4 linked regions of the Drosophila melanogaster genome follow. The protein of the gene in region 2 interacts with the protein of the main gene of each other region in a pairwise test. Each region holds a gene or a part of one and is shown on either strand. Other genes may lie near its edges. The genes, in order: CG17841, CG6479, Def and IM18.

Evidence for each region.
Region 1: the proteins of CG6479 (region 2) and CG17841 interact in a two-hybrid assay, tested with the Drosophila melanogaster proteins (one large-scale study listed by BioGRID).
Region 3: the proteins of CG6479 (region 2) and Def interact in a two-hybrid assay, tested with the Drosophila melanogaster proteins (one large-scale study listed by BioGRID).
Region 4: the proteins of CG6479 (region 2) and IM18 interact in a two-hybrid assay, tested with the Drosophila melanogaster proteins (one large-scale study listed by BioGRID).

The regions. Positions count from the first base shown.
Region 1 is NC_004354.4:10,363,973-10,372,359, reverse strand, and holds the start of CG17841 (uncharacterized protein), read right to left. Parts: upstream 4,309-8,387; 5' UTR 4,005-4,308; coding exon 3,601-4,004; intron 644-3,600; exon of another isoform or gene 436-643; coding exon of another isoform or gene 1-435. Other genes in the region: CG32686 (uncharacterized protein), read left to right, coding at 1-435; CG32679 (uncharacterized protein), read left to right, coding at 4,899-5,030, 5,163-5,542, 5,598-5,850; l(1)G0289 (lethal (1) G0289), read left to right, coding at 6,149-6,236.
Region 2 is NT_037436.4:17,334,100-17,342,477, forward strand, and holds CG6479 (uncharacterized protein), read right to left. Parts: upstream 5,164-8,378; 5' UTR 5,081-5,163; coding exon 5,058-5,080; intron 5,038-5,057; exon of another isoform or gene 5,013-5,037; coding exon of another isoform or gene 5,002-5,012; coding exon 4,697-5,001; intron 4,638-4,696; coding exon 4,030-4,637; intron 3,974-4,029; coding exon 3,644-3,973; intron 3,585-3,643; coding exon 3,222-3,584; 3' UTR 3,073-3,221; downstream 1-3,072. Other genes in the region: CG13727 (uncharacterized protein), read right to left, coding at 6,180-6,694, 6,824-7,217; brv2 (brivido-2), read right to left, coding at 8,080-8,378.
Region 3 is NT_033778.4:10,051,164-10,057,863, forward strand, and holds Def (defensin), read right to left. Parts: upstream 3,414-6,700; 5' UTR 3,405-3,413; coding exon 3,126-3,404; 3' UTR 3,015-3,125; downstream 1-3,014. Other genes in the region: sel (seele), read right to left, coding at 1-176, 371-538, 639-723; magu, read left to right, coding at 6,106-6,180. UniProt on the Drosophila melanogaster protein: Responsible for the anti Gram-positive activity of immune hemolymph. Expressed in the absence of immune challenge during metamorphosis.
Region 4 is NT_033778.4:23,600,093-23,607,201, forward strand, and holds IM18 (immune induced molecule 18), read right to left. Parts: upstream 1,682-7,109; 5' UTR 1,641-1,681; coding exon of another isoform or gene 1,582-1,640; intron 1,529-1,581; coding exon of another isoform or gene 1,459-1,528; intron 1,391-1,458; coding exon of another isoform or gene 1,184-1,390; 5' UTR 1,078-1,183; coding exon 862-1,077; 3' UTR 822-861; downstream 1-821. Other genes in the region: CG42559 (uncharacterized protein), read right to left, coding at 1-163, 222-288, 347-457, 513-595; CG10332 (uncharacterized protein), read right to left, coding at 1,184-1,390, 1,459-1,528, 1,582-1,640; CG43209 (uncharacterized protein), read right to left, coding at 1,917-2,108, 2,165-2,231, 2,282-2,343; Eglp1 (entomoglyceroporin 1), read left to right, coding at 2,625-2,752, 2,808-3,210, 3,275-3,460; Eglp2 (entomoglyceroporin 2), read right to left, coding at 3,743-3,964, 4,301-4,859; Eglp3 (entomoglyceroporin 3), read right to left, coding at 5,666-5,884, 5,949-6,542.

The sequences.
Region 1 (8,387 bases), on a different chromosome or scaffold from region 2:
TGGAAATCTGGTTCGCGTTTGCCAAAACCAGTCAACTATCAACCAGAACCTAAACGTCTGTGCACGGCTACCGGTGCTCCCATGTCATTTCATTCTCCGGTGCAATTCGGACACTCCGTGGCGGACTCGGACCACTTTATTCTGCCAGATGAGCCAATGATTCAGGCCATAACCTATGACGACATCGAACAGACGGAGCAAAAGCTACTGGATGAGAAGCCGGTTCAAAAGGAGGAGGAACGCAAAGAGGGAACAACCAAATCAGTGAGCTTTCATCCTGTCGAGGCAGAAGTAAGTGAGTTCCACTTGAGCAGCAGCTCCATCAGCATCAGCTTAACTTCGAGCAGCAACTGTGGCGTAACCAAGACCAAAACCTCTCGCCCCTCCAAGAAGAGGAAGTCCAAGTCCAAGGGAAGGGGCAAGTTGCGTAAGTGATAAGAGGTTTGCGCAATCTGGAGTTGACCACCAAGTATCCGGCATCGTGGACCACAAGCTAAACTAAGCAATTTCTATTGATCTCCATAGCATACATAGATGTGAAAAATCAATCCTTTTTTTAACCTTTACAAATTATACGTGATTTTGTAGGCTTTGAATAAACTACCACTCAATTATAAATGGTAACATAATACCAGCTAAGCACACTCCAGTTCAAGTTCTACATATCCATATACACTCACATAGGGTTTCCACGCAATGGCAATGACGATGACTTCACCACCAGGCGCACCTGCGAAAGGTCAAGGGTGGTGGAACCGGCCAAGGTCCTGCTGTGGCGATTGCTCAATGCCAGGATGTTGGTCATTAGCGCAGAACTGGCGCCACCAACTAATACGAAGCGATTGCCCAACCCCCCAAGTCGTAATGAAGCCGCTTGAAATAGACTCAAATTAGCTGAAGTGCTTCGATAATAATTGGTTAATGTTTTAATAGAACCAATACAGCTTTAATGGTCAATATTAAAAGAAATGTATAGCAATGTAATACTGGGGATTTAGTCCATAACTTTTGACATCATTTCTGCGACTACAATAGATGTTGACCCATTTGCCCACGCAATCAATTAGTCAAATGTGATTCCGCCGCCTAGTGCAAAGTGATCACTTAACCTTGGACGCACCCTGGAGCACTAGTAGCATTCTGGCACTGAATCGGTATCGGAATCAGAATCGGAATCAGAATCGGACTCGGCCTCAGGCCAACAGAACCGTTGCAAAGTCCCCCACATCGAATGTGGGCATTAGTTCCAATTAGAAGCGCAGCCGGTTCTACCTAATGAATGGTCCCAAAAGGTGTCACTGCGCCCCGCTACCGGCTGCGCATTTTACTATATAGTCGTCGGCTATATTATACCCACTATATATATACACATATGTATGTTACACATGCGAATCTATATGTATTCGCGTACAGGTGCTGTATAATATCTGGGTTGGGCCACGATAGGGCAATCGAATCGTATCGAATGTGATTTAGATATCGGTTACTGAGTCGCCATCAAAGCGCCACGAATGTCCACAATCCAAGCGAGCCAGCGGTAATGTAAATAAACAAATAGCCTCAACTATGTCCAATTAAGATTTATGACGAAAGTCAAGGGCTCGGGGAAATGGCGAGTAGTGGCGATGGAAAATTTTTTTTAAATAGTTCTACGTTGTTTGGTTGCTTGTTGTTGTTTGTTGTCATACCCAGTTTTTCCTCGCAATATTCTCGAGCTTTTCGAAAGCCTCCTTCTAAGCATCTAACGACAAGCCGCTTATCAATGCTAGATGCACTCACTCACCCAAATCGATTCGTTTCCCCGATAGCAGAAGCCAGAGCAGACAGACCCGGATAGATAGATAGATAGAGGACGGGCAGATAGGCGGGGCCAATCACTAGAGCCCCGGCTGATTGCCTTATCGCCCAGCGTGGAGGTGAAGTGCGTCTGTTGGACTTACAACGATCGTGGTGAATCAATTAGCCACCAGGAAATTGGGTCGTCTGGCAGGGTCTTTGATGATTAGATGCGTAACCCGGGTCATGCGGATACTAATAGATTCCATGCATACAATTTGAATAGCATAACTAAGGCAGTAAATTCTGTAGCTCAACTTAAATTGAGAAAGGGAAAAGTCTTTACAAATGGTAAAGAAGAGAACCCAAGATCTAGTATACACCTCATTGTGGAAGAAAGCATGTGATGAGCGCTTATCCAAGTCTACTGATAAAGCAGATTGAGCCAATTCCCGTCCAGAGATCGGGTTGTATAACACCTGTACAGCAATTGGGCACACATGGCGTTACCCATATAGACCGGCACTCTCTGTTTCATCATGACAAATGTGCATGTTTGTAATCGCAGTTGGCGGTGATGAGGGCAGGAGGGGAGTAGATACGAAATGAGAAGAGAGCGAAACTCAATTTAAGCGCGTTAAACAATTCTACACACAGTTTAATTAACACTTTGGACTGCGGGGGTAATAGTTAGGCAAGGGGCACTCCATAGTTGGGCAATTACTAATAAATGGCCGTTTTGTACGCTTGCATCAGATGAATTGAAAAGCTGTGAAATAATTTCACTCGCTCAAGCAAGGGAGAATAGATCACAAATGCCTTTTGCCAAATGGACAATTGAATTTCAGGATATATTTGTGCTTTGCGAAATTGGAGCATGTTTCACTGGCTAGTTAAATGCGTCGTCAAGTCGATGGATGCTTGTTCTCCACGCAATTATTCCGTTTCGAAACCCGACTCGCCTTGAGCCAAAACCCGTTCTATCCAACCGCCCACCGCCCACATCCCACGCCCGCCACGAGACCTTGACCCGCATGTCGCTGTGCTCGAGATGATGATATAAATCAGTGTCGGCTAAGGAACGCCATTGCCGAATGTCGGGGACACCAGCCAGCGTCCAGCCGAGCGCGCTCGATTCCATCTGTCTACACGTCGATGAGCAAGTGCCCTCCAAAATGCGTACTTAAAACTGGGCTAGGCACTCACTATTAACTCGCGCCCGCTAATAAATTGCCCAAGATAAGACTGAAGGTAGGGAGGGTAGCCACTTGGGTAGGTTTCCACTTCATAGTCTAACCTAATTAAGCTCCGCAGCGTAATGTCACTGGGTGAGTCATCGTCATGCTCGCCCAAAGACGTAAGGCGGGAATATGATTGATGGTGAGACTACCTGTTACTTGGGCCAACAATTACCTACGTAATCGATGACAGCATCTAGCTGTATCTTTAGCTATCTGAATTTCAACCCAAAAGTCTAACTAAGTCTGTGTGGAAATATGAGTAACATGAGAATTTAACTAAATCGCTCCAGTTGCACTCATGGTAATGATTTAGCCAACACAGAAGTGTCTATAATTATGAACTTATATAAGTATTAGAAACGCATAAATAGATTGCGTAGATCATGTGGTCGAGAAAAGGGCAACTATTGGCTGCCACAGAGTTATTTGGATGGAAAGCCCCCACCACCCGCCAATACCCCGTTCGGCTGCATAACGCAAGTGCAGTAAGTGCGTGTGTGGGTGGCAGTGCGGGAAAATCGATACTAATGTGCGTGCAAGACAGCCGCATCCGTGCATTGCGTGGGCGTCCACTCCTACTCACTTGTTGGTTATCTCCAGGACGTCGGACATCATCAGGCGGTACTTGCGACGAAAGCGCTGTCCATGCGTCGTCTCCAGCAGGTATTTGTTGCAGAAGTCCGTTAGCGAGACAAAATAGATGAATCCCAGCGAGGTGAGCACCAGGCCGCGCTGCAGCGAGATGCGGTCACTGCTGTTCGGTATCTGCCACAGGCTGCCGCAGGCCAGGCCCATCGAACCGATGGAGAAGGCCAGCGAGAAATAGCAGCCGCGTCCCGTTGCCTTGCCCGGCGTGCTGCCCGCCTCCTTGGCGCCAGCATCCTGACTCAATGGCTGCTGCTGTTGTTGCTGCTCCTCCGTACGGACGGCGGCGGTGGTTCCTCCTCCTCTGCCGTTGCCATTCGCCGGCTGTCGGCGCTGCTGCATCCTGGCGCGTATACGCACTCCACGCTCTGATCAAAGCTCGCACTAAAACCTTCTGTTGGCGAAGGCGACGCAACCTGTTGCGGAAACCGAGAAACGGATTCCGGACTCCTGACGCTGCTGCTACCGATGACTGCGGGCTGCGGACTTCACTCGGCGGTTGTTTACAGGCGGCACTGCGTCTGGGACATGGCGATTGGACGACTGGGCGATCGGGAGGAGCTGGAAGACTCGGCGGTGCGAGGGCTCATGGATTCGTGCGGATTCGTCGTCGCAACCAATCGGTGGCAATCGTTCTTCGATTGTGCGTGCCTATCGGCCGGTGTGGCCACACACCAAGCGCACTTTAAATACCAAACTTGATTTTGGGAGAGCACCCCTGATGAAATGCAAACTAATTCAAATTTGTAATATCAATTATCAAATTGAGCTCGGACTAATTTTGGGCATAGTAACGGCACTTATATATAGCTTAATATTTGCAAGACATAACTGCAGCGATAACGATAAGAATACCACTAGCCGTTGGTTTGTGTCACGGCTTTAGCCCATCACGGGGATTATATCTTGACATTTTGAAAAAGTCTTCGAAATTGTCTTTAATTATTTTGCAACATTTAAAAATACACAGCAGCATTCGAAGGGACTTACGGGATAAAACAAAACAAGTAACTAATATTTACTTATGGTCCGCACTGTACTCGAGCGTGCATTCATTCAATCAGCATATATGTATTAAATATGTTTTTTTTTTAATAAAGCACTTGTTTACTTCGTCGCAAAATCAAAAGACAGACTGCGGCCTAAATAAATACGTGCGTCGCTCCATTCATTGAACGTTATGTCTGTTTGCGAAATGTGTAGCAAATTTAGTAATTTTGCGTATATGAAACCAAAATGTCACGATCTCCCTGCTGGATTTTCCTTTTATATTTGGTCCTTATCATTTTCACTTTTACTTTCGCACAAAACTATTGCGATCCAGAACTGTGTCCCAGTGGAAGACACGTGGCCTGCCAAAACAGCGGTGTAAGTTGATGCACACGATGATAAATCTGCACAAATGAAGTTGAACTTCCATAGTTACGAAGGTTCAACTGTACCTGTTTCCAACGCTCTCACGTTCTATCCTGTCTAATCCTGTTCGTCGACTTTTTCTAGCGCTTTGTGAGCGGTTGCAGCGGCGAGTTTGTCCAAGTGGATGCCCACATCCCGCTGATTCTCCAGCTGCACAACGAACGCCGCAACCTGATCGCTGGCGGTGGAGTTAGTGGCTTCCCCAGTGCCGTCCAAATGGCCACAATGTCCTGGGACACGACACTGGCCCAACTGGCCGCCTACAATGCGCTGCAGTGCCGCATGGCGCACGACGAATGCCGCAACACGAACACGTATCGCTATGCCGGCCAGAATCTGAGCATTCTCTTCACCCGAAGTGTGGATGTGGCGGTCTTCCTGCGCCAACGGATCGCCGCCTGGTTCGATGAGAATCGGGATGCGACCAGTGGCGACATGGAGGACTATCAGATGCGCGGTGGACCGTAAGTACACCACCAAGCCGTAGCGAGTTTGGTAATCCCATTAACTCCTTTCCAGAGCAATTGGCCACTTCACCACCATGGTCAACGAGCGAAATAACCGAGTGGGTTGTGCGATTGCTCGATTTACGGACGCCAACAATGTGCAGGCCACCCTGCTGGCTTGCAACTACGCGGTCACCAATGTGGTGAATAACCCGGTTTACAGGGCGGGAACCGCTGCCTCGGAATGCACTACAGGACGAAACTCCAACTATCCGAATCTCTGCTCGCCCAACGAGGTGTACAACTATAATCAATGGTCGGGATAAGGGAATGTATGCTATTTAGCATAACATTTTCAAGCGTAAATGTGCTGAATTGTTTATTTTTATTTGTACTCGACTGCATTTCTGAATATATTTTACACGTATTTATCGAACATTTTTTAAAATTGGACACCCTATCGAATAGATCGAATTCTAAACGATAAGCGATATTTTATCGATTATTTCAGTTTATCTGGCCGCATCGTACCTATCGATTAAGCCTAGCATGGCGTACCATCTCTAGTTGCTCAGCATTCGTACTTTACTTTTCACTCGCAACGGCTGAAATAACGGTTGAACAATGGCGAAGAGTGTCGGTAGTGCGTGCGCGCAAATTGCGATCCTTTTGGCCATCACTTGCAGTGCATCGGAACTTGCGTCGGCCGTGTGTAAGTGAACTCGACAATGGGTGCTTCGCAGTTATTTGCTTATTTCTCCATCTCTTTTGTTTTACCCATCTCTGTCTTAATCCACCTTGTTGGTGTTGTGTGTGTGTGTGTGCGATTGTCTCTTTGCGTACGTGTGTGTGTGTGTCTCTGTCAATGTGCTTTTGCTTGTATGCGTGTGTGTGTGTGTTGGCTGTAAATCTGGTTGTTATTTTCTTGTACGCTACGCAGTTCGAATAAGACGAAAATTCCAATAAGACAGAGAAACAAACACCTGAGGAAAAGACAGCCCATCTATTTGCAGGGGCGGGCTATGCACACTTGGCGCGTAGTTTTCGTATTTTTTTTGGAAGGTGTATTCAATATATTTATGAACTGTTGTTTGTACACAAGGTTCACAGAAAATAAAAAGACAAATCATCATCGAGTGGACTTTTGTTGGCGAAGGGGGGGTAGTGGGATATTAGTTGGTACTTTTTCGTATGGTGAAATTTACCGCTGCCATGTTGTATATACTTCTTTTTTTTTCTACTGTTTTTTCGTGTGCTGGCACATCAAAATGCGTTAATTGACAACAACGAAAAGTGAGTGTGCGTGTGTCCATGTGTGTGTGTGTGTGTGCCAGAGCAGTTAAGTGTGAAAATAGGCAACGTCCTGTGGCCAAACAAGCCCACTTAAAAAAAAAAAATTGAAAATAAAGAAGAAGAAAAGGAAACCAACTCCCGCCACCTCAGACTTTGTATTATTTCGAGTTTTGTTTCGTGCGCGGCGTGCTCATTTGCGCCATGCTCCACTTAACGTGCAACAATTTCCCATCTGCGACATCGCCACCAGGCGAACAACCTGCATATATCAATTGAAATCGCTGATTGGGGCGCAAAAGCTCATTGTTTTTGTCGCAATTTGCAATTGAAACGCAAACGCTGGAGCAGCTAAATAATTTGTAACGTAGAAAACAGAAACAATGACGAAACAACAAGCTGGCAACTCGTTTGCCACCGTTCTTTCGCTTTCGCGCGTTTCTGCGACAGGTGGCAACTTTGTTGCCACCGGCTAACGGCACTTTTCAGTTTTCATTTCGCAATTTGCCAATAGGAAAACCAAATTGCGGCGGAAAAGTGCTGACGTAACGGTTAATACCAACCACCCACTGAATGCGCCCACTTTGCACACACACACACACACGGCTACACGTATTTCCGTCTTGTTGATTCAGTTTGAACGGAGTTTCGCTTTCTTTGTCTCCTTATCGGCTCATCCACACATCAGTTAAAGTGCACTCCGCTATCTGCGTGGCCGCCGCTGCCTATCGTTATCGAAATCTAGAATCCACACGGCGCACCTTTGTTTCTCGCAGTGTATACCCCCTAGATTTGCTCTAGGAAAACAAAGTACCTAAATAAAAATGACTCGACGCTGTACTGTTTATATGTATGTTGGGTATTTACAAAGTAATTCGTTTTTTTTTTATTTGTTTACAAGCTGCATAGTTCTCTTTGCGAAATATCCGCTTTGATCTGCCATACACTTCTACAAAATCCTCCAAGCTGGATATAATTCGAAGAGATTGTGTGCGGTTACATTTCTCTTGGTTGAAACATTTTGAAATGCATTTGCCCACAAATGTTAAGTTTCTTTCTGAGAACAGCACATTTGCCAAGGTCTTATCTCTATCACAAATTTAAATTATAATTCGCAACCCACTCGGGTTGGACTTGCATCTGGCGTCAGTCCGCTACTGGCACCATCGCTTATCAAGGGCGTTAGCTCATTGCTCCAATCTCTGGGCACACAGAAGCCGTTCTGTCCGCTTCGATTATCACTCCTCCCGTTTTACAGTTTGCCATCCAGTCAGCCACTCTGAATTATCTAATTATCCATGCCCGCTGCTTTTCCGGCATGAAAAGCAGTGAAAGTTTTTAAATTGCATTAACCTGGGCAATGGAGAGTTACTAACTCATGAATGATGGTGCGTCATTGGAAACGTGAAAACTTATTTTTTGTAGAATGCATTATTTTTCACCCCAAACTCAATTCCCATTTCCGAGTTCACAATACGTGTTTTCCCAACTCGGTTAACTAGCTGATTTCCTTTGTTTACTCTCCAAGTGCGGTGTCAAAAAAGTGTCAGGTCATCAACTTTGATGACTATAT
Region 2 (8,378 bases):
AGGGATATGGTACTGCCATCAAGATTTTCCTTTCCGCAGAGCATCTGCCTCGGGAAGTGCAGTCAAGAATCGTGTGGGGCATGCAGTCAGCCGGCTGGGGCATGTTAATTTGTCATGATGCCACTTGCTTACTAGTTCTGCTTGTGGTCCACTCATCCGGCGACCAGCCAGGAACACTCGTGCTGCATACGGAAATTACACAACAAATGGACTTTGGACTTTGGACACGGGACTGGAGCTGGCTGAGGCTGATGTTCGTTTTTCTGGAATCAGGAGAACAACCTGAAATCTGGCCAAATCCGATTAAATGCAAATGGCCCCGCAACCCCGACGCACGTAGTCACACATCCATAGCGCAGATTAGTTGCGTAAGTTATCAGTGGGAAGTGAAAGGAGTGCGATGCGGCAGGTGGCTCTGGTGGCACCAGATTTTAGTGGTTGCACTGCAGCAATCGTCAGTCAGGCAAACACTGCAGCAATTCCCGGTGGCCAGGAGACGGTTATACGACTAATTAATATTTCAATGGCCGATCCGGTTGCATGTCTTTGCGAGACTTTAAGCCATTGCCAGTTGAAGTTGGAAAACTGCTGCTCCTGCTGCCCGCCCAATAGCAAAATGGTAAAATAGCTGAATAGCTGAGCATGGAAACTCATTTCGGCCATTAATGGCCGATGGTTTGCGGAGTAACAAGGCGGAGAGTTGGCAGTCGTTGGTAGTCGTCGTGAGTCGTCGTCGTTTCAAAGGAAATGACAGCCATTTCCATTTTTAGCTACGCTTGGGAAAGCCAGCAACTGGCGAGGACCAGGTCCTCCTTTAAACTGGAACTACACAAATTGCTTGCTTAAAATATGCGCTAAAAAATTCCCAGCCAACATCCTCGCCGTCGCATCCCCAATATTTGAACATTGTCGCAAGGCATCAGCATCAGCATCGGGATTTTATGTAGCGCATATTCCTGCTCCACATCCCCGTTTGGCAAAAGGAAAATAAAAGAGCCACTTCCGTTTTATTTGCGCAAAATTAAATAAACCGAAATATGGCTGACCATATTGGCGCATAATGGGCAAAAATATTTTTTTCATTAATGCCCCATGCCCCATACCCCAGCGGAGTAGATGGCAAAATAAATAAATAAATAAGCGGAGCCAAAAAGGAAAGCCGAAAAGTAAAAGCTCCGACTGCGACCAGCTTATTGTGTGTCAATATTTGGTTGACCAGGCCAACGAATCCAGTTTGGTGGCTAAGTGAGTGCCTGGCCAGCGGGCGGAGGTGGAATAATAAAATCATTTTAATAGTTTCGCTGCCTGCAGTTTTACCGGGCTTTATGCAGCTCAATGAAATTAAAATGAACTGTCATTAAAAGTGGCTCCTTTGATATGTTCAACGATTTTCTTGTCATCAATTCAAATAGTTGCAGCTCTTTGGTGGCCACTTTAATGAAGTTAATGGGTATTTAAATTTCCTGGGCTTAAGCCAACTTGAACCTGATTAATTATACTTAAAAGTGCCTTCAGTATTTAAACAGAGTATAATATTTATTATTATGCCTATTATATATTTATTTATTTATATATAAACTATACTAGGCATTAGGTCAATATTCTTTAACATTATACCTAATGCCCTACTTATGTCTTTGGTCTTATAATAAATGCCATGGATTTACTCAACATGTCTTGAATCAGAACATCTATATCCGTTTACATATTTACTTTAAATACAAAATGTTCACATCCAACTGAATAGCAATGGCCATTGAGTGTTCACACCTTCCGCCACTTTTCCTTTCTTCAGCTGACAAGTGCTCCACTTACACTTTTCCTCTTTGCCCGTGCCACGCCCCAAAGACGTCCTCGTCTCAAGGATAGTTAAGCTGCTTCAAAGCAATATTAGATGAAAATTTGTGTAAGCCGTAAAGAAAAAGCCCATTCAACGAGAGTGTGAGACGATTGCCAATCGAATTTAATGCGCATTTATTTTTAAAGTGCCATCAGCTGGGAACACACAATCCGCCCAGCCACCACCCATCAAAGAAGGCTTCTTTTGTCAACAGCAGGGTATTAGGAGGAGAATCCGCCCGAAACCCAGCCACCACCCACTCGGGAGCAACCCAGCGAGCCGCACTAATCAACACAATTACGAAGCAGTCGAAGGAAAACTTTTCTAATTGGATATGAAGACGCGCACATGCGTTTCTTTAAAGGAATTTTACTCAAGCAGGCGAGGGTCCAAATATTGTGACAAGAAAATGGCTCGGCACAAGGAGATACTAACGTTCCACGCTCCAAGTTCCAACTCCAATTCCCATCTTAGGCATCGCGTCTCCCGACTCCGCGGCTGAAATGCTTTGACAAATTATTTTTAAGCCAATTTACAACTTGAGAAAAAGTATCAGGAAAACATATCACTCCACACACACACACACACACACACACACACACAGGGTGTGTGGTTCGCTTCGGTTCGGTTGGGTGGCTGAGTGTGTGTGTTTGTGTAGGTAAAGCAAATATAATGCGAGGGATAAAAGTGTAAAGTTGACAACCCAGGCACATTACTCACCCGAGGTGCCAGCCATCCAGCCATCCGGGCATCCGGGAGTATGGGCGGCATTAAAATAACCAGCCAACCGATTCAACGTCAAGCCAGAGCCCAGAAATGAGCATGGCCAAGAGAAATGGTAATGTGACTGGTCGAGAGGGCCCAGGTCCTGCTCGTCCTGGCGCCTGCTTTAGGGGTCTCCGTTTGCGACTCCTTCATTTTGCACTACTTTGGAGCATTTTCTCAATGTCTCTCACTCGACAAAATGTCGACAGCGTCGGCGGAAACCATTAATTTTGTCACTTTCGGAAGTGCAAAGTGGCGAGCATGTGGGAGCATGTCGCTGGCCGAGCCAATGGCCAGGTCACCAACTGGCTGGTCAATAGTGAGAATCATGAAAGGGCAATTAAAGTCGGGCACCTGTGTGCACATATCCGCGAATATAGCTTACCGCCGACTGCCAAACAAGTTAATTGCACAGACCGCAGGCCACACGACACTTGATAACCGCGAAACCACAACAGTCGTAAGTTGGCTTAATAATTACAAATGTATAATTTCATAGTAACGAATGATGAGGATTGTCCAGTCACCAAACGCTAGTCGAGTCACAAAGGATCATGCTTAGAAGTAAGGAGTGATTAGGGGTGGGATTAAAAGTCATAGCCACTAGTTCCACTGTTCAGTCTTCGATGACGCACATGATGTTGATACCACTTTTGCCAAGATTTACGCACTCCAGAGCAGAGTCCTGGTGCTGTCGCATATAAATTAGGAACTGTATGATAACGTAGAACAGGTTATTCCTATCGTAGACGCAGTTGTGTAGTTCTTTGTCGCTGATAAAGTTAAATTTAGGGTTAAGTGGGTTGCCGGTACTTAAAATGGCGCAGTGGGCCTTGTTGTGAACTGCGTTCACCACGTCCTTGGTCGAGCTCTTCTCGTCGCGAATTAACACGTAGCGGGAGTGAAAGGGTCGTCCGCCGCCCTGCGGCAACGGCATCAACTGGCTATCCAAGTACACGCAAAATAAATGGAATATTATCTGCAGAATGAGGTTACAATTAATCAAGAGTGCTCAGTTGCGGAATTTCGTATACTCACAGCTGCATCGGTGGGCAAATGCTCGTCCCGCTGCTGACCGTTGTGTGTTTTGCCCGAGTACCAGCGGTAGTCAGCTATGCAAGAGCCCTGCGCAAGCTCCTTGATGCGCTGCACCAGGTATTCCTGGTTGCTGAAGGTGTCCAGGAAAGGTAAGAGCATGGGCAACATGGGCGCACACGTCTGCACGAACTGCTGGTTCTCGGCTGTTTTGCGTAATCTCTCTACACTCACAGATCCAATTTTAATGTCAATCAGAGCTCGCTGGCGGAAAACATCGTCCACATAATTGATCTCTTTGACCAAACGCTGAAGTATGGTCGTAGAAATCCACTAGAAAATGGTAAGACATTAGTACGTTGCAGTGGAATATTGAACGGGATGCTTACAAATCTTAGGTTGGCCACATATTGCGACAGTTTGTCCGTGGATATGCGCTTGATGACCTCCGAATTGCTGTCCCTAAACTGAATACCGCCAAACTCCTCAATCGAGGTGGGAGCATTTTCCGTAGAAACAGCCGGAGGTGGCGATAGTTGATAGATGGTGGTCTTGAGCATATAGGCCGCATTGTTGCAGTAGTTCCAGAAGGAGTTGGCCGATCCCATGCTCTGCACATTGGGTGTATCCGAGCTGTCCATCATGCTGCGCTCCCGATCCGCCTGCTTCATTAGACTGGTCAACTTTCGTGTATCGGTCATGAAGTCATCGCGTCGCACCTCCGCATACGGGGACATATAGGTAGACTCGTTGCTCAGATTGCTGGCATTCAGCGAGTTGTTTCGAACCATCGAGGAGTTGTAAGAGGTGTTTTGTTTCGTCTGCTGCGGCGTCCTTGTGGGACTGGGGCTGCGGCGCATGGATTGCGAGCCCCAGCAGGAGTCCTCGAAGGAGGAGTGCCAGTTGATGATGGGTATGTCGTCCTCTATATCGCTATCCGGTTCGTAGCTGCGTGGTTTCATCACGGCTCGGGAGCAAACTGTACGAAAAGAGTTCTCTATAGGAATAAAAGTGGTTAAGTGGATGCGTTAGAACGGGTTCCTTTGGATTCCTCACCTGCCTTGCCATCAAGCAGCCACTTTTGGATATCGCTACCCGTAACTTGGTCACCACCAAACCATAACCACAAATACTTGCCGAAGCAGGCGAGTGCACTTAGGCCAATCAGGGTCGTAATGGTGCACTCCGCCAGGAACCAGTAGGTCCTGTAGGCGGACCGACATGCCTGCCAGAGGTCGAAGAGGAGTAGCGACAGCAGCACCACATTTATGGAGCACCACTTGAGGTAATGCCGCGCTTGGGCGCCCTGCAATCGCAAGTCCAGGCTGCGCTGCACCACTGGGTTTTTACTCAGCGGCGAGCTGAGGAGCATTCATGGGTTAATTTTCTGAATTCTACACTAGTTTCTGTCACTTACCAATTAGTCCGTGTAAAATTCATTGCCTACTATGTGATAATTATTAGAAAATCACCTGAATAGGTCGAAAATGCCGGGAAAACTTGTTTGTAAGTGATAGCACAGACAAAAAGTTAGAATACCACAAGGTCAAAAAATAAATACCGTTTGGAATGAAACGCGTTATGTACTTTGTTGGCTCAAGATACCTTAGCGGAGACACTTTCCCTAGCGAAGACACACACCTATCGGCGATGTTTTCTTTGGTATGGATCAATATCCATGATATCATATTTTTTAATAGAACTAAAATTATTTTTATGATTTTTAAAATGATTTTTTGTTTATCCGAATGTTTAAAGCTATTCACCCACTCTAAACGTATTACTTATCAGCAACTTTTAATTTATCATTTAAATGCAGTGTTTTATAATATTTTTTAGAGTAGTTATAAAATTAGCTGTTTTTTAAACAAATTTTTTCTCTATCTTCAATATATTATGACATAAGCCGTACAAAACCGAAGACTCAACAATTTTGCAACATTTATGAGGACGCTAAAAAATTCCTTAATTTAATTTAATTTAGTTTGTTTTTAATGATATAAAATAACTTTTAATTTATTTCATTCCCTAAGTAAATTGTATATAATTGTGTACACATGCAACTAAATGTGTATTCTCAATAACTTAAAAATATTTTAAAATAAATATTTATAAAATATAACTTTTTTGTTTAAAAATTATACATTCCTTAGCGCACTGGGATGACTGGGGCTCGTCCGGGAATTGAACCCGGGACCTCTCGCACCCGAAGCGAGAATCATACCTCTAGACCAACGAGCCGGTTTGAACCTCAGTCGACTAATTACGCAATCTAATGTAAAAAAAAAACTTACATATAGCCATTACAAAAGGTTCCACAAGTCACTTAAAATTACGTTATCTTATTCTCTCCATATAGACAACTAATTATTAGGCTCTCGTAGCATTAGACCCTTAATTTAAATTATTTAAATTATTAAAATTATTTAAATGCCATCACTGACTTTAAATAAAAAACACGCTTGTAACTATATGATATATTAAAAATAATATCTTATATATTGTTTCCTGATTTAATACATTTTCGAGAGGACGGTACTTAGATAGAGCTATTCAGTTTTGCATCAGTATTCCCTGATCGTAAAGCCCGCTTCACTGCCCTTCTTCTCCTTCTTCGTTTGCCAACGACTGTAGGTCCGACACCCACTCCCACACCGATCCCCGGAACAGGAGCTAGTTGCAGCAGGAGAGGATTACTGACCAGGGCGGCGGCGATGCCCAGAACGGTGGCACTGGCCAGCGGAATCAGGAAGCTTTTGGCCAGCAAGGCCTTTGGTGAGATCTCTGGCGATCCCTTGTGGGAGACTATCTCGTGGGAGTCGATGGGGTAGGAGCTGTAGGAGTAATCCACTGCTGGCCCCGGGTAGTGGCCATGTTCGGGTCGAGGTCGATAAACGTGGTATGGCACCCCTGCCTCTCCGCTGGAGGAGTAGGTGTGCCCAGGAGCAGGTCCTGGCTCATAGCCATGTCCGTTGGATGGTCCGTAGTCATACTGATAAGGTTGACTGTCATAGGCGTAACTTTTGCCAGCACTTCCACTGCTGCCATAATGCCCTTAAATAGTATTAAATATATTTTTAATGAAATCTACAATAAACAACAGTCATCAATTTCAAATATTAATCATTTTAAGTTTGAGTTTATCTTTGTAGAATATATAGATTGAGTAATCTTTGAACTCACCCACGCTTATTCGATCGTGTATATTCCCACCTAGTTTCCACTTATCATAGGCCTGGCTAAGGTTATCATTTAGGTCACTAGCTTGGGAGCCATGAGCTCCTCCAAAAGGCGGCAGCGCACCAATGGGCTTGGATATGAAGCCAGCTGCAGTGCTATCCAACTTGGATGACGATGAGCCCGGTCCGCGGTAGAACTCCGGGGGAGGATCGTAGCTCTTGGCTACTGCGGAGCCCACGGGGTCCAGTTTCACGATAGCCTGTCGTTTCCGCGGCTGCATGGGCTGCCAGGACTCTGATTCCTTGGACGCGTTCTGTGCGGATGCGTGCGCTATGGTTAGAAGGAGACCGAGGCAAAGGCCAAAGGCCAAAAGTAACTTCCCTTGGGACGCGAACATGTTAACTGAGTGCGACGCCTGCAGACCGGCGGATTTTATATGGGTCCCGGTGTCGCCATGTCGTCATCTGGAGTGGGTGCCATTACAAGCGCTGGCGACAAATTGCAGTCCGACAATTTCAAACCGTCGCCGCTTGGCTGCTGGCATTGAGACGTCTGCAGTGCGTTTCGGGAGCGATTAGTGCCGCCAGCTTGGAGCCCCTTCAAGATTTGGCCACGCGGCTCTTTCCACACTCTTTCATCAGGCATTATATCAGGCGGAGGCAGCAACGAGCATGTAGTTGCCAATTTGTGCCTCTCTTGGATTATTGAAATAAAGCGTGCGCACCCAGAAATCCATAGCCCCCGCGACAGGTGAGCACCCAGAAATTAGTGGAGTTATTCGCGCCCTCGGCAAAAGAAAACAAAAGTCCCAATCTGTGTTTTAATTAAATCATTTATCGCTGCTTATTTCTAAAGTCGCGCTGCTCAGCGAAGGGGAATGATCGGTGGTGAAGTGAGGTCGCAGGGGGCCGGAAAAGTCACATTTAGTGCAATAGAAAGCACAACCTATAGAAAATGATGGAAAGTGTTGCTAGAACTGCTCTTTCTTTCTCTTACTAGAATATATGGTCATTATCATCCGATGAAAAAATTTAAATAATAATAACCTTTTAAACCCAATGCTTGTGTACTCAATTTTTATATCACTGGAAGCAGAGACTTTCTCAGACAATCAAAAACCAAGTTGATGTCTTTCTTAGACTGGAACGCATTTATTAATGCCGTGCGGCATAAAACAAAGTAGTTAATAATACATAGCAAAGTTCGTGAATATGAAAAGCCTTTGTGGTTATCAACTTGCCATTCGATCACGGCGATCATCAACGGCGCTTCCGATACATTTCCGGCATGTCGTCGGGATCGGAGTCGGATGCAGGTGGTGTGGGCAGTTTGCCATCTTTGTCGCCCAATACCATTCGCTCGAGGATCTCAACCTGGAGGTTCAGGATAGCCATCAGCTTGAACAACTTCTCTCCGCGCAAACGGTAGTCGGCACTTCGCTGCTCTTCCGTCAGGAGTGCCCTTTTCAACTCCTGCGGGCTCTTTATGAGGTCCCTTTTGAACTTAATCAGTTCCCGCCTATTTAGCTCTAGTTCCACATTCTCGGCAACAGTATGTC
Region 3 (6,700 bases), on a different chromosome or scaffold from region 2:
GTTGTCCTCCAGTACTTCGTTGCAGAAGTGCCCCAGGCTTTTGTTGAGATCACCATCTTGCACAAAGTCAACCAACGAGGAGTCTGGGTTCATCTGACCATTGATGATCATCTTGAGGAGTGTGAATTTCCCGTTGCTCTTGTAGGTTGCCTTCAAGTAGTCGTCCATTTTTTCGCCTTAGAACGGGAAAATATTAGGAATGATAAGCAAAGTGTTATCATTAATAGAATACCACATATAACTATCTTCATTGATAAACAATAGCTACGCTCGAAGGTAAAACTTTTGACTAACGTCAAATGTTTTAAGATTAGACTGGTCTTTATCAAGCCTCTATGCTATTCCGTACCATATGGTAATAATTACTTACAGATCTTCTCCATCAGTTCGGTAAGGAACATTTCAGATTTCACTAGGCGAACTTTCTTGCTGATCGAATTTCCCTGTGCGTCCAGCCGGAATCCACTGACATCGGCCATCTTGTGGGGGTCCTCCTTGGCAATGGCCTCCTCCAGTTCCGTAACCACGGCCTTGCACACTGTAATTTATGGAACCTCAATTATCCGGGCTCCCAGGGCCAGCCAACAAGTGCACTGCCGCCTGTTGCTGGCGCGCTGTTATGTGTGGATTCTCCTTACCGTGACACTTGACCTCGCGGGAGGTGAAGCTGTAACCTTGGGCCAAGGCCAGCAGGCCGAACAGGATAAGCGCCTTCGTCAGCATCTTTTTAATTGATTGTTTAATAGTTTAACGCGTGGAAACTAATTGCATTAACCACGTCAGCAGAAGCGCCTTCCGTTTAAAAGTGCGGCGTTGATAAAGACGTGTGCTGTATTTACGACGACTTAAGAGCGACGTGGTTCTTGATGCTCTGCAGCGATAAGTGAAGAATTCTACTTAATTTATGCCCAAGATGTGGTGACGAGGGACGCGGTCAGTGGGTCTGGGTCAGCGTTCACAAGAATTGTGGTAAACGTTTTAAAGAAACCTTATTGATAATACCCGGCTATCGATAGAACTTTTCTAGCTAACGCCAGTTTTGGCTATCAAATATTTTTAAGGTGACCATCTCTACCTATTTTAAGCTAAAAATGAAATATGTGTACTTGTCGTTAAGAGATTTAATTTGATGATTCACATAAAATGATGTCGTTTAACATTTGTAAATCGTTTGAACAAAAAAAATATCGATAGTCAAGTGCGCGCGTTAATTCAAATCTTGATCGTAGCACGATGCACGTTGAAATGTTTAAGTTTGGGGGAGAGCTGCATTATATACATATGTGCATCTCAATTCTCGTATTCTCTTAGCTCTAGATCGAAAACTTATGTACATTAGCCGATGTGCTACTATATAGTGAGCCGATAACTGAAGAGTCAGTGCAAATGGAGAATCGCTCGCGAGTGGTTGCTCTGTTTTCGGATCGAGATGTGAGGACGAGGGGTTCGCGTAATTAACCGGCAAAGCGTTTGTAAATTAAAAGAAACCCACAAGTCGGCCGCGTTCCTCGATTTCTACATACTCTTATTAACCATTATAATTGGCGTTAATTAAGTGTCGTGTTTCTCTCTCGGCGCGTGTTTCTCTTCCCTATTCCCCTTGTTCGCTTGCACTGATGATCATTTTTCTTGGCGTCTGTTTGTTTGCTCGGTTAATTGATAAGAACGAATTGTAGTCGTCGGACTTGCCGTATTTATAGAGCAATGCCGCAAAAGAAACGGAAATGCAATGCAAATTGTTGCTATACCTTTTAGCGTAGGTTCAATTTTTTGACCCTGCCAAACGGAAAGTGGCATTCGCGGGCTACGAGATAAGCGATCGATGATAATTTATTCAGCTATGAATGAGTTCGAGAAGCACCGCAATCTTAAATAGAAAACACATAGATTTAATGTGGATTTTATTTAAAAATATATAGAAAAATATATATCTCCTTATTAAAATCAAGTGCAACGGCACAAACCTTTAACACAAACACCTTTAAAGCCCTTCTTCGAACAGAGGGAATTGCACCGCTCAATGCAGGACTGTCGCCTTGGGCGGACATGTTCCTTCGCATCCTGGATAAGACTCCTTTGAAGCTCCTTTTGCAGAAGTCTATTCTCGGAATCCTTCGGAATAGATCGAACCTGCATTAAGCAAACCGCAACTAGAGTTAGCGCCAGAATAATCGTGATCTTCATGTTGTGATATGAAATCGAGAACTGTTCCAGCTCGTTCAGGTTGCATTCGTGTTTTATAGTAAATTGAAAGGCTGCCGGTTTATGATAATGAGTATTTTTGTCGTAAGAATAGAAAATATTATTGTTTCTTTTCAAAGTTATGCGGAATAAAGTATATGCGAAAGCTGTTTCCGTTTGTTGCTCAGTTAGAAACTGACTAATTATGCCGTTATATGACATTGTATGTTTGGAAACTACAGCAAAAGCTTTATGTAACCAAATTATATTAAAGTACAACGCAAACAATCGATGGGAGAAATTATACAAATTTAAAAAGAATTTCAAATTTGTATTGCTTTTTTAAGTAAAGTTTACTGAGCTTAATATTTCTTTATTAAAATCTGCCTTGAATCGCCATGAAGACCAATAACTGCTCCCGTTAAGAGCTTTTTTAAACAAAGTAAATATATACGTATATATTTGGTATATATAGATCGTGCTCCTCGGGACCTCAATTTTTTTTTTAGCTCGATTAGGTTTAGTTAACTTATATGGTAAGTCGCTAACGCTAATGACCGATATTTTGTTGTACGAATTGGTAATGATAAACGCAGATTATTTTCACAGACTAAGACTAAGGAACATACACAAGGAATAATTAAGTCGTTCTTCTATGACTTTGAAAGTTATAAAGCCAAAGAAATATAAAATATTTTGAAAATTTTCTGTGATCAATATTTATTATTAAAATAGTAGCTTAACTATTAAGAAATTTTTACAGTCCCAGTTCCTTCTTACCAATTATTTCCATAAAAAGTAATTAGTAATAATTACAAATCATTATAATATTTAAATATCTGTCGATTAAAAGGATCCATTTATATATAGAATTTTTCAACGTTTTGTTTTATGTGTGACACTTAAAAAACGAAAATTTTTGGTGTACACAGAGCGAAACGAAATCAATTGCGGCAAACGCAGACGGCCTTGTCGTTGCAGTAGCCGCCTTTGAACCCCTTGGCAATGCAGTGGCCGGCGCAGGCGGTGTGGTTCCAGTTCCACTTGGAGAGTAGGTCGCATGTGGCTCGCTTCTGGCGGCTATGCTGCAGCACCTCCTGGTGGGCATCCTCATGCACCAGGACATGATCCTCTGGAATTGGATCCACATCGGAAACTGGCTGAGCCTGCGCCACGCAAGCAAGCAGAGCAAAAGCGATAGCCACGAGAACGAAGAACTTCATCTTGGAATACAACTGGAGAGATACTGTTGTTGCAGATTGTGGTTTCGCCGAGCTTATATAGCAATGCGACGGGCTGATCGATTCGGCCCAGGGACTCCCACCCGGTGACTTACCTTCCCATTGTCTCTTTTTCTGTGCAGGAAGACACGTCTCGGGGGTTTTTAATTTTTAAGTTCACTGCAAATGGGAGAAACCGTTGTCTAGATCATTATTTCATGTGCTTTGCCTGGAAAATATTGACAATATTTCATAGATAAGAGCAAAATACAGCCGACAGAGCCCGTTTCTGCAATAAGTTATTTGCATTTCTAGGGATTTTAACTGCCTTAAATTTTAGGCAGTAAAGTATATTCCACATGACAAGTTAATTGTAAAAAGCAACATCTACGAAATTAACCATTTCAAATTGTTTAGGCCTTACTTGAGAAAGAATCTTTGGTTTGCGAAATATGCAGGATATTTGTATATATGCAACGTTGATAAAAGCCTAAGTAAATATGTGCCCTTTAGTAGCATCCAATTTCGATTTTATTACTCCCAAACTGTTGAAATTAGCTGATGTAGGGGAATCCATATTTAATCATCTGAATTTCTAGCTAACTGACCGATTGGGTGCCACTTTAAGGGCTATACTCACAGCTACACAGCTACACAGTTGGCTCAAGCAACTGAGATACTCGGTTACGGATACATAAACACATGCGACAATAAATAATTTCTACCGAAAAGTCTCTTCATAATGCCGGGCAAATAAACAAACAAGAATCACACAATGATTAGTTGGGCATACAGCGGCAGGGGCGGGTGTACTTGTATCTGAATCCGTATCTGCGCGTACGTGTATCTATATCTGTATCGGCATCTGCATCTGGTTCTCAGCCCAGTCGCGCTGAGCCGACAATCCCGATCGAATCCCACGACCGAGGCTTTTTCAGTTGCCCTGCTCCTTGGCTGGCCGTTGCCTGTTTACCTTTGTTATCGACCAGGTTGTCTTGTCTTGCATTTTGGCGTCATACTGTCTGCCAGTCCACTCCACTTGAGTTTCTACCCCGCCCCTTACAACCGTCTACAGTCTAGAGTGTTGCCCGCATGCCCATCTTCACACGAGGAGAAAATATCGAATCTTTTGCGTTTCCACAGAGAGTCTTTAATATCAATACATGAGGATTTTTTTGTAATATGTAAAGGCTTATAGATAGGTGTACGCATCAGAACTGCATATGTACATCCCAAAATCCAAATCTATAGATCCCTCAATATTGTAGAAGATTTGGAGTTAGCTAGAGTTGCTACTTCTGGACGAAGGTACTATTTACAAGTACAGGTATATTTTCCCCAGTGCATGCTCGATCATCGAAGAAGACCACAAAACGGAGTGTGGCACAGCCGAAAACAAAGTGACGGCAGGAACGGGGGTGTTCGGGGTGTTGGGGTATATCAAGTAGTGGGCAAGAGGGGGCAGTTATCGCCGCCGTCAGACTGTCTGGCAGGTTTCACACCGAATCGAAGACGGAGACCGGCAACTCCACTTCGTCTCCGCCTCCGCCTCCTCCATCCACCTAAAATCCTCTCCAGGCGAACTCCTTGGCCAGCGGCTCTATAAATCACAGGAGCGGGGCCCTCGACGGCTCACGTTTTCCCCTGACCGCCTGCCCCTACCCCGACGTCCCTGCGCCCCTTGCCCCTGGCCCCTCCCCCGCTGGCTGAGCAGCTGGTGCAACTGTTGGCCGCTTTGTTTTAGAGGTTTTTTGTTGCTTTTGTTGGTGAGGCAACCTCTTGAGATGCACAAGGAAAGATAAATTTCACACGCATACACAAGTGCTGCTCTCTGTCTGCTGGTGTGTGAATGTGATCGTTTTTATGCTGCTACAGTAGAACATCCCTAAGTTATAAATTCATACATAAAATGCTGTTTTAATGCTGGTTTAGTTTTAGTGTACTAATAATGGGGTAGTGATAGTTAATTAGTCGTTCAAGCACACGTTTGGAATTACAGTCACAATATCTTCGTTCGGTACCGTTGACCTATGGTTTAACTGAGAGAGGCTCCACTGTGCTGTCCGTCCAGCCTCCACAAGTCGGAGTGTGGCAAAGATAAGATATTGGAAGCGACACGCCAGACACTCTGGCGGCGGCGATGTCCCTCGCTCTCTCCGCCGATCTCTCAGCTCGATTCCGATTCCGATTCCGAATCCGATTCTTCGCCCACTCTCACCTGGGGCCTCTCTCTTGCGTTTTGGGCCACTCCACTCCAAGGCAAATGGCCAGTCGTGTGTGGAACTCGGCTGCGATCGGTTGACTATTGAAGTGCGCTCTGCAGATTCGTTGTGATCCGTGCTCCTCGCTCCTCGCTTCCTGAACATTTTCGGACGGTTTTCCAATCGAAACGAACCAAAAATCGCACACATTAAGACGCATTATATAAACAGAAGATCCACAACACCTTAATGCACACGCACACACCTCTCTCACTATAAATAGACCACGGTAATCGGTAAATAAATAAATCGGAGAGCGGCAAAGTAAAAGTTCTAGGAAGAAAATCTAATTGCGACTTTGCGAAAAAGATGGTGAAATAAACGAAAAACTTTGATTATAATGAGAGAATCGTACTTGATGCAATAAACACGCGTATCAAACCAATCCCCCATCCTCCGAAGCACAGTAACAGTTAATTGACGAATTCGAACTGCTAAGTGAAATGTTGGCGAGATGTGTTTTGTTCGTCACTTGGCTGGCGGTTTTCATTGCGACTGGAAAAAGTGACGATCAGTTGGTAAGTTTACTTTCGAAAAATTGTTAACAAAATATTCCCCGAACAAACCAAAGTGAATTGGGTTAATCATGTGCAGTAAAATGTTTGCTGAATTTATACAGTTACTCATATTTAAGTTACAATATTACATTTTGAATAGAAGGTGTTAAATTAATATCATTATTCAGATTATTCAGCCGGCGAACATATTCCTCTCTAGAAGTTCTTACCTCTCAGAACTTTTTACATACATAGGTAGATGTATCTAGTAATCCAATTCATATATGAAGTTATATGATGATGACGGCAATCATTTGAAGTTGCATTTAGTCTTTTGTACAATTTGTACAAGTGCTTGTAAGCGGAGCCTGCCAAACTTTCTGCCAAGGCTACAAGCGATTACTTCGTAAATCCCGAGAAAACACTCCAATATTCCAGGTATCAAAGGTACCAAAAGTCAGCCAACAAAGAAGCTGCGCTCGTTCTTCTTCTCCCTGTCTTTCTCCAGCTTGTTCGCCGCCGCGCTGTCTGCCAAACTCCG
Region 4 (7,109 bases), on a different chromosome or scaffold from region 2:
AATCCTTCAGAGCTTTCAATTCCTTTAGCAGATTCTCCTTGTGTTTCCTTGATTTGTGGCTAGTTTTGGATTCCAAAATCTTGATCTCCTCTTTCAATTTGACGATATCATTGGCGATTTCTTTAACCCTGTTCTTTTTTATCTTCATAAATTGCTCTGAGGCCTATGGAATACCCAATTCTACAAGGTTATTCACAACATTAAATAGTTTCGATACATACAAGTTTGAGAACATAGTTAAGTTCCTCGCCTCTGCCCTTCTCGGAAAATTTGTCAGTGAATTGACGTCTATCATATGTAAAAAAAAAATTATTTTTACGGGTCATTTGAATAATAAAATACTTACTTAGCAGGAAATTCGTTTAAATTATTATTCGACCTTGGGTGGAAAATGTTTCTACCGTGGTAAAAGTTTCTATGCCTTGGTAAATTTCTGTGCAACTCATTGGAAGGCCAACTAATATTTAGAAGATTTACAAATAAAGTTTGGATAAATTTCCAGTACTACATACCAAACTCTTTCTTGACATAGCACCTGAGGTTGAAATAGCCTGTTGCACGATGCCGAGCCTAAGATTCGTGCAACAGGAAACATGGCTTCTTAAGTTTAGGATAGAACGAAATCAGTGTGGCAGAAATACATTTTACAAGTCTGAAAGTACAATGTGGATATTTGACGTACGGTCAAAAGCAACTACTTCGATATGAAATTTAGAATTTGCAATAAATTTAGAAATAATTATTACGCATTTTATAAATAGTAAGCAGATGTGTATCAAGGCCATTTCATAAGTAAGATAAGGAAACTGGGCGATTAATTTAGTTTAGGCGTTTCAAATCTTTATTGTTTCATTCTTTACGTCAGGCGTACATAGTCTTCGATGGTTTCCCAATCGGAGCGTCGTAGTACAGTGGTCGTTGCTGTGAGCTTGGAGACCTGAACGGATTTCCGGACCCAGCTCCAGATCCCGATCCGTTTCCTGGTCCAGTGTGGCGAGATGGCGAGGCGACGCCGGGAGCAGCTAGGAAGCCCAGGAGGCCCAAAAGGAGCAGGCAGCACAATGCGATCAGCTTCATGGTTGGCAATCTCAAGTGAATCTGAATGCCGACCTCCGGCAATAGCTTGTTTTTATACGCTGCACTCGTATGCCCTTGGGATTGGGAAGCACCCGGGGGGATTTTGCTATTCGCTGAAATCACCGACTTTGGGTGATTTCTTATCAGCTGGGGGGCGTCGATCAGATTTTCTCTCCTTCCTCTCGCGATTGGAATTCACCTTCACATCGAACTCCATGCCACGGATGCAGCGGGTCAGGTCGGTTAGATTGGCCTCGACGCGCTTTTGCTTGAGTGCCAGCTCATGGGATTGCAGATCCAAGATTCCGCGTTCCTGACGATGGGATTTGATTAGATGGCGCTCGATTTTTGTATCATCTATCTTGAAAGGTAACAACTTACTGTTTGCAGATCCTCCAGTTTTAGTTGATTTTCTATGCGACTCTGATCGGGCAGGACAACCAGATAACTTCTATATATCAAAATGTTATGATTGAATATGTATAATCACAGAATGCAACCTACCTGATGGTGCAGCCTCTGAAGCGGCTGAGAATAGATCTGATTATTGGGTTAATGTCCATGCTTACGAAAATGAAAACAGCTAATTTTGATTATCTCTAAAAGTTTGAAAGTAATTGCAAAGTGTTGAAGATACTTCAAACTGGCAAACTGCTGATATGGAGCTGAAATTCTGCATATAACCACATTTTATAGTTATCTCATTCTTCGCTATGCCAAAAACTATGCTACGCATTCTTGCTGTCCCATAGGTGGCGCGTTGGTTACGCATGTCAAATGTAAAATTACCATCGCCCTTGCCAGTACAAACAAGTTGTTGCAATCATTTAGTTTTATGTTTATTTATTCATTCTTATGTTTCGGAGGGCTTGTTTCAACTCTTTGAGCACTAATATAAGTTTACCCCTCGCAGTCTTCGCCTCGGACGACTTACTTTTCTCAAGGGCTTTGATTTGCATTTCAAGTGACTCGATTTGTGCGGTCAGTTCCATGATCCTTGCCTCTTTTCCCTTGTTCCCCTGCAAATGTTTCTTGGAGGTAAACGTTCTTTATGAGTCATTGAAATGTTTAGTTAGGAGATACTCACAACATGATACGTGTCGATACCGCCACTGCCTCCTTTGTCAAAAAGATCGCTAAACGGTCGTCTCTTGCTGCATGGAAATTGTGGATTTAAGGGAACTCACATTGCGGACGTACTTACCATAGAAACATGGTATCTCTTGTCTTTAAAAAAGTAAGAATCTTATAAGCCCCCCGAAACATACTTTAAGCTCTGCGTCAAATTTGTGTACTTATGCTTTTTTCGTTAATAAGTTTCTCCACGCCAACTAGGTGAGGCAAAAACACATTCAAAAATGGCTAACAAATGATCCAAGTAAACCTAACCCCTCTTGCTTTGCGAATATATTTGTTAAACATTTCCAATATACGAATTCGGTAGGAGAATCAATACTCAGACATACATAGTTAGTCAGTGATCATTTAGTTAGTTAGTTTTTTCCTTAAATTGTCTGTGATACATTACATATTACGGATAATTCACGATGATCTGGGACTTCTTTACCTTTATACGCGGAGCCACCGAGTTCAGTGCCACTGCGCTACTGATTTTGCTCGGTTGCATGGGAGACTCAACGAACCAAGGTGGTGAGAGCAAATTCTTGGTGGCCAGGTGATGCTTAGTGAGATTTCTATAATAGAATATTGTTAAATACTCTATCGTATAGCGTTCACTATGGCCTGACGGTGATGGTGGTGATGCACGTGTTTGGCTTCGTATCCGGAGCCCATTCGAATCCATGCATCTCGATCTCATGCTACTTGATGGGCTACATCGCCCTGGAAGTGATGATGATGTACGTGGTGTGTCAGATGGCCGGTGCTTTCCTTGGTTACTTCCTGCTAATGCAACTGCTGCCCAAGGAGCTGGTGGACAAAAGCAAGCCAGGCATTTGCCTGGTACAACCGATGGACACTCTGTCCACATACCAGGTCGTCATCATCGAGTGCCTGCTGACCGCGGTCCTCGTGCTCGGATGGTGCTCCTTGTGGGACGTGCGAAACGGAAGGTTCCTCGACTCGGTCGCCATTCGCATGGGTCTCCTCGTGATCGCTTGCAGTTTCGCAGGGGTGAGTTGAAAGGCTTTGGATTTTGTATCTATAGATACTATAGCTATATATGCATTTATTGCAGATTCAACTAACTGGAGCCAGTATGAACCCCGCCAAGACATTGGTGCCTGCCATATTCTACGGCAGTCCGAATTCGGTTCTAATGCAGCTGACTGGCCAGATCCTGGCCGCCATCATGGTGCCCTTCGTGTGGAATCATGCGTATACGCCACCTTATAAGCCCTTGGAAATTCCAGTGTGCAACTGAGCTGTGACAATAAACATAAGCTCGACGTTTTTGGCTACCGTGTGGCTTATTTGATCAAGTGTATGAGCAATTAAATATTAACGATAAGCAGTTCGCCGTGGCGTAAAAATAATCTGGCTTAGATAAGCATAGCATTTACATTAGATTAAATATATAGTCGTCAGGCGTTGGAAATTATTTAAGCTATTTATTTGCACGCTTCGCAACTTAAAACTATCCGCTCTCTCCGCTCTCACGAACACGAACTTAAACGATAACTTGTCCTATGTGTAGTAAATCCATTTAGGCGAGCTCCGCCTCCGAGGTCCTCTTGGTTGACATCGTCGTCTCGTCCACCTCCGATTCCTCCAGCTCCCGCCGGAAGGCGTGCTTGTAGATCACCGAGGTGATCAGGGCAGCCGCCATGGGACCCACCCAGTAGATCCAGTGGTCATCCCAGAATCCGTTCCAAATGGCCGGAGCAAAGGATCGGACTGGATTCATACTAGCCCCAGTCAGTTGTCCCTGTTGGGGGATTTACAATTGTTTATTAAGAACATTTTTTTGATACCTATTGATTGCATTTCATGGGATGGCTAAAATGTCTATATTAAAAGTGTATATATGCCATTTAAAGAAAGGTTATCATCGATACCGAGAAAGTCAAGTGCATTTGCCTGATAAATTGAAAACAGATAGTGAATGGAATTTTAGCATAGCGGATCGTCAATTTGATATTTCTTAAGAGCAGACAGTCTTATCTGTATCGGTATTACTTGGACAAACAGACATTAAGGTGGATTACAAAATAAGATATATCTAATACTGTATCTGAATTATTCCGAACAATAATCAACTTACCGCTGTGAGCGACAGGCATGCGATGGCCAGACCAAATCGCACTGGCAGCGAGTCCTGCTTGGTGGCATTGCGGGGATCCCAGACGCCGCAGCACACGGAGATGAGGACGCAGGTGATCAGGAACTCCACGGCCAGTCCCTGCCATGGGGTCAAGGTGCTGTTGAGCGAGGTGAGGCAGACGCCATTGGGGTTCTCAGCGCTGTAGATGGCGCTCTCCGGGAGCACCGCCTTCAGCAGGCCGTAGCCAATGAAGGCGCCCACCATCTGGGCCACAAAATAGGCCAAAGCCATCGGCAGGGAGATCATGTTGTAGACGTAGGTGGCCAGGGTGACGGCGGGATTCAGGTGGGCGCCACACACGCAACCGAAGCACTGGATGCAGATTAGCACCACGAATCCGAAGTTCAGGGCGCTCTGGAAGTCCGAGTTGGTGAACACGGAGTTCTCCACACTGCCCATGCATCCGAGGAACATCAGCATAGCGGTGGCTATCATCTCGGCAAGAACTGTTGTGATGCTGTCCAGCTGGCGGCGCTGCAGCAGCCAGCAGTTGGATTGGCTGCGAAATAGAGAGGAGTATTCCATTTTAGTATTCTTGTGGGTTTCATTGTGTTTAAATTTTTTTGAGTCACTCTTCGAGGATATTTTAGATTTTGATTTTAAGACTTGGAACTTGGTGGATCACCTTGCGGTTGTAGCCATGATTTACGTGCGTCGCGACGAGCGATTGACTTTAACGGAGACGTGGTCCGACGTGGACTGCACTCCAGACCAAGTACTCAATGGTGCGAATCGCATACTCTATCGCCGGCTCTTAATCGCCGGCAATCTCGTCTAATCGCCTTAGGTGGGTTATCAGCCAGCGTTTCTATATACTCATATCTACCCAACTATTGCCAAACATTCGCGTTGGTGTGCTCCATTCACTCGAGTGCGTATGTCCACTTTATGACGTTTTAAGGCAATTCAAAATGTGACAAGGCACTAAGTTAGTGTCCCACTAGAAAGGGGGCTATAAGCCATCTAATCAATATGATTTAAGCCGCCTGTTGTAATGGTTGAAACGCAGAACATTTCATTCGCTATCAAGCTGAGCAATTCTAAAAGGGGCTACTTATCAATGGCCATTGATAATGATTTTCAAAGACCTATGGACCTATTGATATATATGACAAACTCGACAAACTTTCCAGCGAATACGAGCCCCCAAAAAAATGGCCAATATCGCCGCTCATCCCAATTGTATGCTATGGAAATAATACAAGGTGGTGCTTAATTACTTAATCGACCTAAATATTTTGTGGCTCTATTATTACAACATATTCGTATATATATATAGTTTATTCGATAAGATTCAATTCACACCTATTGCACTATAACCTCTCCGATCATTCGTATCTTGGCATCGGAAGTCCTCAGATCGATCTCCTCGTCGCCCTTAAAGGCCATGCGATAGATCAGCGAGGTCACAGCTCCTGCCACCAAAGGACCCACCCAGTAGATCCAGTGGTGTGCCCAGGAGTCGTTCCAAACAGCTGGACCCAGTGATCTGGTCGGATTCATGCTGGCTCCCGTGAAGAGACCCTAAAAGCAACAGACTTCCCATTAAGTAACACTTCGCAACTTTGAAACGCACCGAAATACCAACCGCTGTGAGGATCAGACAGGAGACGGTGAGACCGAATCTCACGGGCACCGAATCCTGCAGCTTGGCGTTCCGTGGATCCCACACCGAACAGGCCACCATGACCAGGCAGCAGGTAATGAGGAACTCGATGAAGACCCCCTGAAGTACGCTGATTCCGGGGGCCAGAATTGTCACACAAACACCCGACGGGTTGTCCACACCCTTGATGGAGTTCCCAGGCAGAACAGCCACCAGGAGACCATAGCCTATCAGGGCTCCGGCAGCCTGGGCCACAAAGTAAGCAATGGCCCGGATCCAACCGATTGCGCCGTAGAGCCAGGCAGCCAGGGTGATGGCCGGATTTAAGTGGGCACCGGAAACGGAGCCGAAGCACTGGATGGCGATGAGAATGGCCAGGCCGAAGGTGAGGCCACTGCGAAAGTGCGAATTCTGGAACAGCGGCGTTTCCACACAGCCCATGCAGGCTATGAAAACGAAGACGGCAGTCGCCGCCAGTTCACCGAAGAAGCAGGCTATCGCACTCCTTTGGTGTCCTTCCAGGCGCCACCTGGCGTTCGGATTGGACTCCTGCGATTTTTGCTTCTGTTGCGACATGCTGACGGAACTCTACTGCCGCAATTTTGGGCGGCTGCCCAAGTGACCCAACGTGCCAGCAAAATTTACGGCAATCAATCAAAATCCATTATAAAACCTTAATGCTAATTATCGAGCGCAGATTTGGGAGCAGCTCCCGCCCACCCATTCAGGATGGATCAATCCATCAAGGCGATTTTCGGGGGGCTTTGCTCAGCCGTAATTATCGGCCTGATAAGCGCCACTGCCATTTCGCCCGATTTGTGCTCAATCTTATCTCATTAAGATCTTTATCGAACGGCGAACGGGGTCGCCGAGACCTGGCCAATACTCGTACTTCTTGTGTGCCAGCCAGTGTCTGAATCGCTACAACAAGGCCAATAAACCTGGCCTATGGTGTTCGAAAGCTACTCGAAGGAATCACCCCGTGATTTCCAGAAATTCCAGAAGAGTGATGCAAATCCAGCATTAGCATATCACCCATAGCACATAGTCCCCTTTAAACCACATAGAACCACATATATCATTTGTGCTTCGTATACGGACTATAGACCCGAATGGAGTACGTAACGTACAATAACTGCATAT